Nothobranchius furzeri: one gene and its partner. The protein of the gene in region 2 binds, or shares a complex with, the protein of the main gene of each other region. Links are inferred from orthologs where the notes say so. Each region holds a gene or a part of one and is shown on either strand. Other genes may lie near its edges.

The links.
Region 1: gtf2h4 (region 2) and polr2f share a complex: the UniProt entries of both Homo sapiens proteins name them as parts of the TBP-based Pol II pre-initiation complex. The link is inferred for Nothobranchius furzeri from reciprocal best matches to the Homo sapiens genes GTF2H4 and POLR2F.

What each region holds. Positions count from the first base shown.
Region 1 is NC_091752.1:66,413,831-66,417,917, reverse strand, and holds polr2f (DNA-directed RNA polymerases I, II, and III subunit RPABC2), read left to right. Parts: upstream 1-1,297; 5' UTR 1,298-1,433; coding exon 1,434-1,453; intron 1,454-1,709; coding exon 1,710-1,779; intron 1,780-1,867; coding exon 1,868-1,998; intron 1,999-2,796; coding exon 2,797-2,868; intron 2,869-2,962; coding exon 2,963-3,053; 3' UTR 3,054-3,322; downstream 3,323-4,087. UniProt on the Homo sapiens protein: DNA-dependent RNA polymerase catalyzes the transcription of DNA into RNA using the four ribonucleoside triphosphates as substrates.
Region 2 is NC_091751.1:25,555,051-25,559,477, forward strand, and holds the start of gtf2h4 (general transcription factor IIH subunit 4), read left to right. Parts: upstream 1-1,589; 5' UTR 1,590-1,712; intron 1,713-2,228; 5' UTR 2,229-2,230; coding exon 2,231-2,346; intron 2,347-2,413; coding exon 2,414-2,518; intron 2,519-2,626; coding exon 2,627-2,758; intron 2,759-2,855; coding exon 2,856-3,038; intron 3,039-4,427. UniProt on the Homo sapiens protein: Component of the general transcription and DNA repair factor IIH (TFIIH) core complex, which is involved in general and transcription-coupled nucleotide excision repair (NER) of damaged DNA and, when complexed to CAK, in RNA transcription by RNA polymerase II.

The DNA of each region.
Region 1 (4,087 bases), on a different chromosome or scaffold from region 2:
TTCTCTAATTCTTGCCACTTTTTACATTAATAATTTTATCATGAGTGTTTTATTACTTCCTATATTTGCGTATCTCTTAAATTTTTCTTTCTATCTTACCTTCTGCACCAAATACCGCAGCAATTTCCTAATGTTGTGACTTGGCACACATATGGCAATAAAACCTTCTGATTCTGATTCTAAAAAGCTGGTCCTTTGTATGTATGTATTTATTTATTTATTTATTTATTTATTTATTTATTTCACTTTGGTGGAAACCGGCCCTGTTAAATGAGGGAAATTGCAGTGTACCACAGTGACCATCAGGTGGCAGCCTTGTGGTGTGTCACCTTTTAAAATAGGCGCGTCATGAATGTTTGGGTGACGTTCTGACAGACACGTTAGCTCTACGTGAGATGATTTATGTTGTTTGTGCAGATAATAAGCTTAAGACCACGTTCGTTAGCCATGACATACAACCAAATAGAGGGCCAAAAGTACATAAAAAATTTATATCATTAATTGAATGTGTCATTAGTTGGTTGAAATATGAAATAATTATGTATATATGATTTTAATGAATGTGCTATAAATAAAAACATTTATTTGATGTAAAAATTACAGATAATCATTAAACTGTACAATTTTAGTAATTATTACATGGCGGAGCTGGCAGTGAAGTCGAAATGGTCCTCTCTCCAGGATCTCAGTCAGGTCCACCGGTAGAACCCCATGGAAATCCCTGGCCAGTAGACATGATGATTCCTCCAACATGTCCTGGATCGAGCTGGGGGCCTCCTACAGGCAAGACATGCCTGGAACACTTCTCCTGGGAAGCGACCGGAAGAATTCTCATTAATTCATCGCTGGATTCAGCCCCAGTCTTCTCTAGTCAATAAACAGGCCTTGGATTTGGAGGAGTCGGTGTGCATTTTAGGATTTAAAACAAAATAATTAAAAATTTTCATCCATGGCCCATTTAACAATTTATGTATGTAATGATTTATTCGTGAAATAATTTGGCATTAATTTGATTAATTGCACATATAAATAATATTTTTTTACGTGTCAAATTCCTTAAATCTTTAGCACTTGATTATAACAATTCATTAAAGAAAGTGAGGAGAGAGAGAGAATGGGGATTATTCAGCCTTTATTTAACCTACAGTTGGTAGAATTTACAGATCAAACTAAATGGAAAATGACTTAACTCCAGAAGGTGGCAGTGTTGCAACGGTAAACCTTGTTGATGCTTCTGAAACATCAAAAAAAAAAAAAAAAAAAAAAAAAGACAGACCGGAAAGGGAACTCTAACGAGGTTCTTTTGGCCGACCGGAATGTTTAGTAGCGTACCAGCCAGTGCAACGTTCATGTGGATTCGTGTTGGTTACAAAAGTGTAGCCTAGAAACGTTAAAATATTTTACACGGATATATACTACTCTAAAAATTTATCATGTCGGACAACGAAGACAAGTAAGTAAAGAAATCGTTTAAATAATCTGCGTCATTTTGTATAATCGACGTAAGCTAACGGGGATGCTAACTCGATTAGCATCACACGGTATTGTTTATTATGATCCTTGCCTATTCTGTGTATTGCTGCTTACGTCCTGTTTTATTCAGTCTCCCATCCAAGTTTACGTACTTTTGTACTTTTTCAATAAAGCTTGTTAAAAGTTATGAATCACCTAAAGTTTAAGATATCTGATCAAAGGTTTTAACTCCGTAGCTTCGATGATGGAGATTTTGATTATGCAGAGGAGGACGAAGGACTAGACGACCTGGAGAACGTCGAAGATGTGAGTTATTACAGAGACGGATCACCACTTGAGACTTTTATGAAGCTGTCTCCTGGTCTGAGCTTGTTTGTTTTGCTCTGGTGAATAGGAGGATCAGGAGAATGTGCAGATCCTACCTGCAGGAGAAGGCCAGCAGGCCAACCAGAAGAGGATCACCACACCGTATATGACGAAATACGAGCGGGCCAGAGTGCTAGGGACCAGAGCCTTGCAGATAGCGTGAGTGTGTTTACATGAGATCACGGTTAAAGCTGAGTGTGTTTGATCTTTAACTCGTTAAACACATTTTCACTGAGAGTAGGTTTCCTCCCTAAACTTAGTATTTAGAGATGTTCAGTGAAATTAGCTGGGCTCATTTCGGGATTTATGTCAGTAAAAGTTTCGTTTTTCCAAAAGACATTTAACCCTCCCATTGTCCTGATGGGTGTGACCCCGCGAGGAAAGTTGACCATTGAGCAGGGATGATGGTTTATCCCTTGGGTCCATGTGGCAGGGGTGAGAAGTGAGCACCACCTCACCCCTGCCATGTAGACATCAAGGGATAAACCATCCATCCTGCTCAGTGGTCAACTTTCCTGGCGGGGTCACCCATGAAGACAGTGGGAGGGTTAAGTAAAAACTTAAATATGCTAAATAGCGCATTAACACCTAGTATCAACAGAAGGTTATTTAGGTAAATCAGTAAAATCAACTCCTGATTCTGTTTTTGTCTTGAGTTTGGGCTCTCTGAATTCCCACCAGCAGAAATTCCTGGAAACAGGCGGCTGCTTGTGTAAATGCCTCATCTGCTTTCAAAATAAAAGCATGCCAAAGCCCATTTTAAAGCTAAAAGTAGCGTTTGAATCTACATGCAGAATTATTTGTATTTAATTTCCAATGCTGGCTGGATGGCTGCAACTAATGAGTCACTTTTTTCCCAGCTTTAGAGAAATTAGCCCACTATAAACCCCATATTCCCATGTTGCATCAGTCTGCCTGAATAAAAGTGTTTTTCCTGTGCTGGCTTGATTCCAACAGGATGTGTGCTCCTGTCATGGTGGAGCTGGAGGGAGAGACTGACCCTCTGCAGATCGCTATGAAAGAACTTAAGTAAGTCACTTTGACAAGCACCAACTTTTGGCTTTGGTTTTATTTAACGAACAACTTTTTACTTCACTCATCTTTTCTTCTCTTTCTCCAAAAGGGGCAGAAAGATCCCCATCATCATCCGCAGGTACCTTCCTGATGGGAGTTACGAGGACTGGGGCTGTGATGAGCTCATCATAACTGATTAAACATCCTAACCAGCATCACACATCATCATCTCTGGACTTTTAGAGACTCACTAACTTTTACAGAGTTGTACGTTTGCCTGCTGGGATCCGTTTATGAATATGTTGTTTTAATTTCTTTTCACCATTTTAACATCTACTTGAGGAGGAGAGACGAGAACCTTTAGTTAAATACTTTTTATGCATCCGTGAGGAGTCTAAACGGCTTGTTTTGTTTTTCGGAAGAGACGGTGTAAATGAATGTTTTATTGTTAATAAAGTCATTTCTAGAAGCTGCTGTGATGGATTTATGTACAAATCTCTGGTTTAAAACAGAAATGTGTTGCTGCGGTTGTTTCATTTAGAAAATTAAATGTCACCCCTTCTTTCCACAGGAGCCGTCAGCAGCGCGTCATAGCTGCTGATAGGAACCGCTGTGGTCAACAGAACCTTTTCCACCGGAGCCGTCAGCAGCGCGAGTCGGCCGCTTCTCAGGAGCAGCATGTCGCGGCCTTTACGCGCCGGTTCTATTTTCTACACGCGACGCCTCTGAAACGGGTCAAGTTCGACATTTTTGGGGAAGGAAAGACAGGAAATCGGACGCGGAAATGGAGAGAAGCTCCCGAGATTTTCAGAATAAAGAACGTACTGCCTTCCGGTTGCTTTACTTTTAAAAAAAGTTACTAACTGTGCGGCCCCGTGAGAAGTTATCACCTAGCTAGCGGTCTCCTTTGTTTTTCAGGTCCGTATTGGCGATTCTAAAATGGACAGAACATAAAACACAAACCTTTTGGAGCCATGTTGTAATTTTCTCCTGCTTGTTGTGTTTACTGACGAAGTCACTCGTGTGACTTCGTGCTCGGTCGGTGACAGCTGCTCCCCTGCTGCTTCGCATCTTGTGGGAAGGGCCAAACAGCAGCTTACGCGAGCAAGACGTGCTGCTGATGGCTCCGGTGGAAAGAAGAGGTCAGACATGATCATGTGATGAGAAGCTAAAATATTGTAGTTCAATTTCAAAAATTATGTTTCGCAGTCTAACTTAATTCCATCACTACAGG
Region 2 (4,427 bases):
CACACAGACCAATGTATTTCCAATGTTCATTACATTTAAATTTGATATTTATAGGTGACAACCAATGAAAACATCAAATCTGGTATCTCAGAAAATTAGAATATTCTAAAGGCCAATGAAAAAATGTTTGTTTCTCTAATGTTGGCCAACTGAAAAGAATGAACATGAAAAGAATGTGCATGTATAGCACTCAATACTTAGTCGGGGCTCCTTTTGCCTCAATAACTGCAGTAATGCGGCGTGGCATGGACTCGATCAGTCTGTGGCACTGCTCAGGTGTTATGAGAGCCCAGGTTGCTCTGATAGTCGTCTTCAGCTCCTCTGCATTGTTGGGTCTAGCGTATTGCATCCTCCGCTTCACAATACCCCATAGATTTTCTATGGGGTTAAGGTCAGGCGAGTTTGCTGGCCAATCAAGGACAGGGATACCATGGTCCTTGAACCAGGTGCCGGTGGTTTTGGCACTGTGTGCAGGTGCCAAGTCCTGTTGAAAGGTGAAGTCTGCATCCCCATAAAGTTGGTCAGCAGCAGGAAGCATGAAGTGCTCTAAAACTTCCTGGTAGACGGCTGCATTGACCCTGGACCTCAGGAAACAGAGTGGGCCAACACCGGCAGATGACATGGCACCCCACACCATCACTGACGGTGGAAACTTTACACTGGACCTCATGCAACGTGGATTCTGTGCTTCTCCGCTCTTCCTCCAGACTCTGGGTCCTTGATTTCCAAAGGAAATGCAGAACTTGCTTTCATCAGAAAACATAACTTTGGACCACTCAGCATCAGTCCAGTCCTTTTTGTCCTTGGCCCAGGCGAGACGCTTCTTGCGCTGTTTCTTGTTCAAGAGTGGCTTGACACACGGAATGCGACACCTGAATCCCATGTCTTTCATGAGTCTCCTCGTGGTGGTTCTTGAAGCGCTGACTCCAGCTGCAGTCCACTCTTTGTGGATCTCCCCCACATTTTTGAATGGGTTTGTCGTCACAATTCTCTGCAGGGTGCGGTTATCCCTAGAGCTTGTACACTTTTTTCTACCACATTTTTTCCGTCCCTTCGCCTGTCTGTTAATGTGCTTGGACACAGAGCTCTGCGAACAGCCAGCTTCTTTAGCAATCACCTTTTGTGTCTTGCCCTCCTTGTGCAAGGTGTCAATGATTGTCTTTTGGACAGCTGTTAAGTCAGAAGTCTTCCCCATGATTGTGGTGCCTTCAAAACAAGACTGAGGGACCTTTTAAAGGCCTTTGCAGGTGTTTTGAGTAAATCAGCTGATTAGAGTGGCAGCAGGTGTCTTCTATATTCAGCCTTTTCAGAATATTCTAATTTTTTGAGATACCAAATTTGGAGTTTTCATTAGTTGTCACTTATGAATATCAAATTTAAATGTAATGAACATGGGAAATACATTGGTCTGTGTGCATTGCATGAATATAATGTACAAGTTTCACGTTTTGAATGGAATTACTGAAATATTTTCAACCTTTTGATGATATTCTAATTTACTGGCCAGCACCTGTATGTTATCTTCTCTAATTAAAAAAAAATCTGCTCGCTAGCTACCAAAATAAAAGCGTAGAAGAAAAGCTGGACCAATAGGTACGCGCGCGTCTATGTCACGTGGTCTCAGAAAATGTCCACTTGACGCCAGTATCCCGGTCTCGTTCGAGGTGCTGTTTGGAGTTCTGATTCTGACGGTGTTCCGCAGCTAGCTGAAGGTAAACGTCTTTCCCGAACAGGAAGCTCACAGCTGATTTAGTTTCCAGAGTTCCGTTCAGATTCGGCTCTCTGGACCGGTGTACATCGTGGTCCTAATCCCTCGATGTGTTTGTTAGAAACGGGGAATCTCTTTGCGGATTCAGTTAAGAGTCTGATGTGAATTTGTAAAAGCTAAACGTTTGTTTAAAAAACGCCATTGTTGCATCTGTCCCACGAAGCAAAGTCACGTGTCAGGGACTCGAAGACAACACGCCAGACAGACACAAGGTGTTTGTGTTTACATTCCACTTCAGACACCTTCAGCTACCAGGCTAGATAGTTTGTCCATGATAATCAGACCGGAACTCCTGTCTACTGGAGTGTGTTTGCCTTCATCACCTGATCCTGGATCACTGTTTTGGATTTATAGATTATGGGATGCTGCCAAGACGTTCTGTCATGGAGCGGTTATCTTGGCGGAGTTCTAGTCTCGCTCCATTCTCTTCAGTACAAACTCAAGTGGGTTTCTGTTGCAGGTATGAAGCTCCGGGTCCAACTCCAGTGTAAGAACCTGCATGAGTACATGAAGGAGCTGAGTCCTGATGTCCTAGACCGGCTCTTCAACCACCCAGCAACCTGTCTGGCGGTCTACAGGTGAGCCTGATCAGGTCTGGGTTTGTCTCCTCTTCTCTTCCTCACTACGCTGTCTGGTCTCCTACAGGGAACTTCCCAAGCTAGCCCAGAACTATGTGATACGCATGCTGTTCTTGGATCAGCCACTTCCCCAGGCAGCCGTAGCTCTGTGGATGAAAAAGGACGGTCAAAGGTCAGTTGCTCATCTGGTGTCTCCTGATCCTACGTCTCTGTAGTGGGCCTGAACAGGGACCCAGTCACAGGTGGGTTCTGATTTCCTCCAGCTCTGTGTCTTCTGCAGGGACCATGATGAGTGCGTGTCTGTCCTGACTGGTCTCCGTCTCTGGCACAGTCAGCAGCTGCAGGGTGGCCTGCAGGGTTACACTTTAAATCCAGTTTTCAAAGACAACCTGAGGACTGCTTTGCTGGGGGGGTGAGTGGCTTGAGGACTTCCTGCTTCAGCAGAGCTGAAGCTGCTCTTCCAGAAAAGTCTGATCCATTTGTGTGAACCACTTGTTTTGATCAAACAGTGGCACCGCATGGGCTGAAGAGCAGAGTGCCCTGGGTCCAGATCGTCATGCACGGGACATAGAAAGTCTAGACCGCTACGCCATGGAGCGCTGGGAGGTCATTCTACAGTTCATGGTGGGGTCACCATGTGCAGTCAGCCAGGACCTCTCTCAGCTGCTGGTTCAAGCAGGCCTGATGAAGAGGTAGGTTAGATTAAAGTTATGGGTTTAAGTAAAACTTTAAAAGATTAGAAAGTATCTGCTTTAAATATTCACATTTATTTAAATCTTTTTAATGCATGCAAGTCTGAGAGTAGCTCATTTAGAGGGAAGCGAATCTCATCAGCTTGTTTTATAAAGTTTTTTTATTGGATAATTATAGTTACTATTATAATAATATTCTAATAATATTATCATTGTTTTTACCATGAAACTTTCCCCGAAAGTAGGGATGCACCGATACTGGTATCGGTATCGGTGCAGATACCGATACTATTATCTGTATCGGTAAAAGTTAACCGATACCAGGAACCGATACCAATGCAGTTGCTTGAAAATGGCTTCACTGTAACTTGTCATTTCTGTCCACCTAATATTTTATTTTTGGGATGATTTCTATTCATATATTTTACTTTTTATCTACCTCAAAGTCTTTTCCTGTTGAAAGCAGAGAAGAAAATAAAATCTGTATTCCAAATCATTGCATTTTTTTGTGTGGTAGAAGTGTCGGTATCGGTAATTGGTATCTGCGAGTACTCAGATCCAAGTATCGGTATCGTATCGGTTTAGAAAAAAGTGGTATCGTTGCATCCCTACCCGAAAGTGTAAGAGCTTCAGGTTGTGATGTTTTGGTCAGGTCTTGTCAGAAAAGCAGGACCATGTCGTCACAACTCAGACTCTCAGGACTCATCTCATCGTCTTAGCCTTTAATGTAACATAGACAATAAGCCCACCCCCGTCCCGTAGAGCCAGTTCAGCATTAGCCAATAGCGTTAGACATCTGCTCATGTACAGATGTTATCACAGGTGTACATACATTTGAGGACAGACTTAGATAGGTGCATAGTTGGCGATACTTCTTATGGACAAGTAAGTCTTTAAAAGTGTGTGTGTGTGTGTATAACTGAAGTATCTCCTGAGACGTTCCACCACATAACTGCAGGGTATAAGATGCTGGCAGGGAAAACTTAAATGGAACGCCACAACCAAGTGGCTGGCATCGTGTACAGCAGTGGTTCTCAATCCTGGTCCTGGAGGGCCGGTAAGCGGTTTCTCTGCTCCAACACACTTGATTCAGTGGTTGAATCACCTGTGCAGCAGCTCACCAGACTCTGCAGGTGCTTGTAAATCACCTGCTGATTGAAATCAGGTGTGTTGAAACAGGGTTAAAACTACAACACCCTGGATACCGACCATCCAGGACCAGGATTGAGAACCACTGGTGTACAGAGTGTGGACTGGAAGCCCCGAGGTTAAAGTGGGAAACATCCATAAGGCGGTAGAGGACGAGCAAGTCCACAAAAGTGCAGTTCAAAGGAAATCTAAGATACTGCAGAACACTGAAGCTCCCAGACCTCTGGTAGAGGACACAAG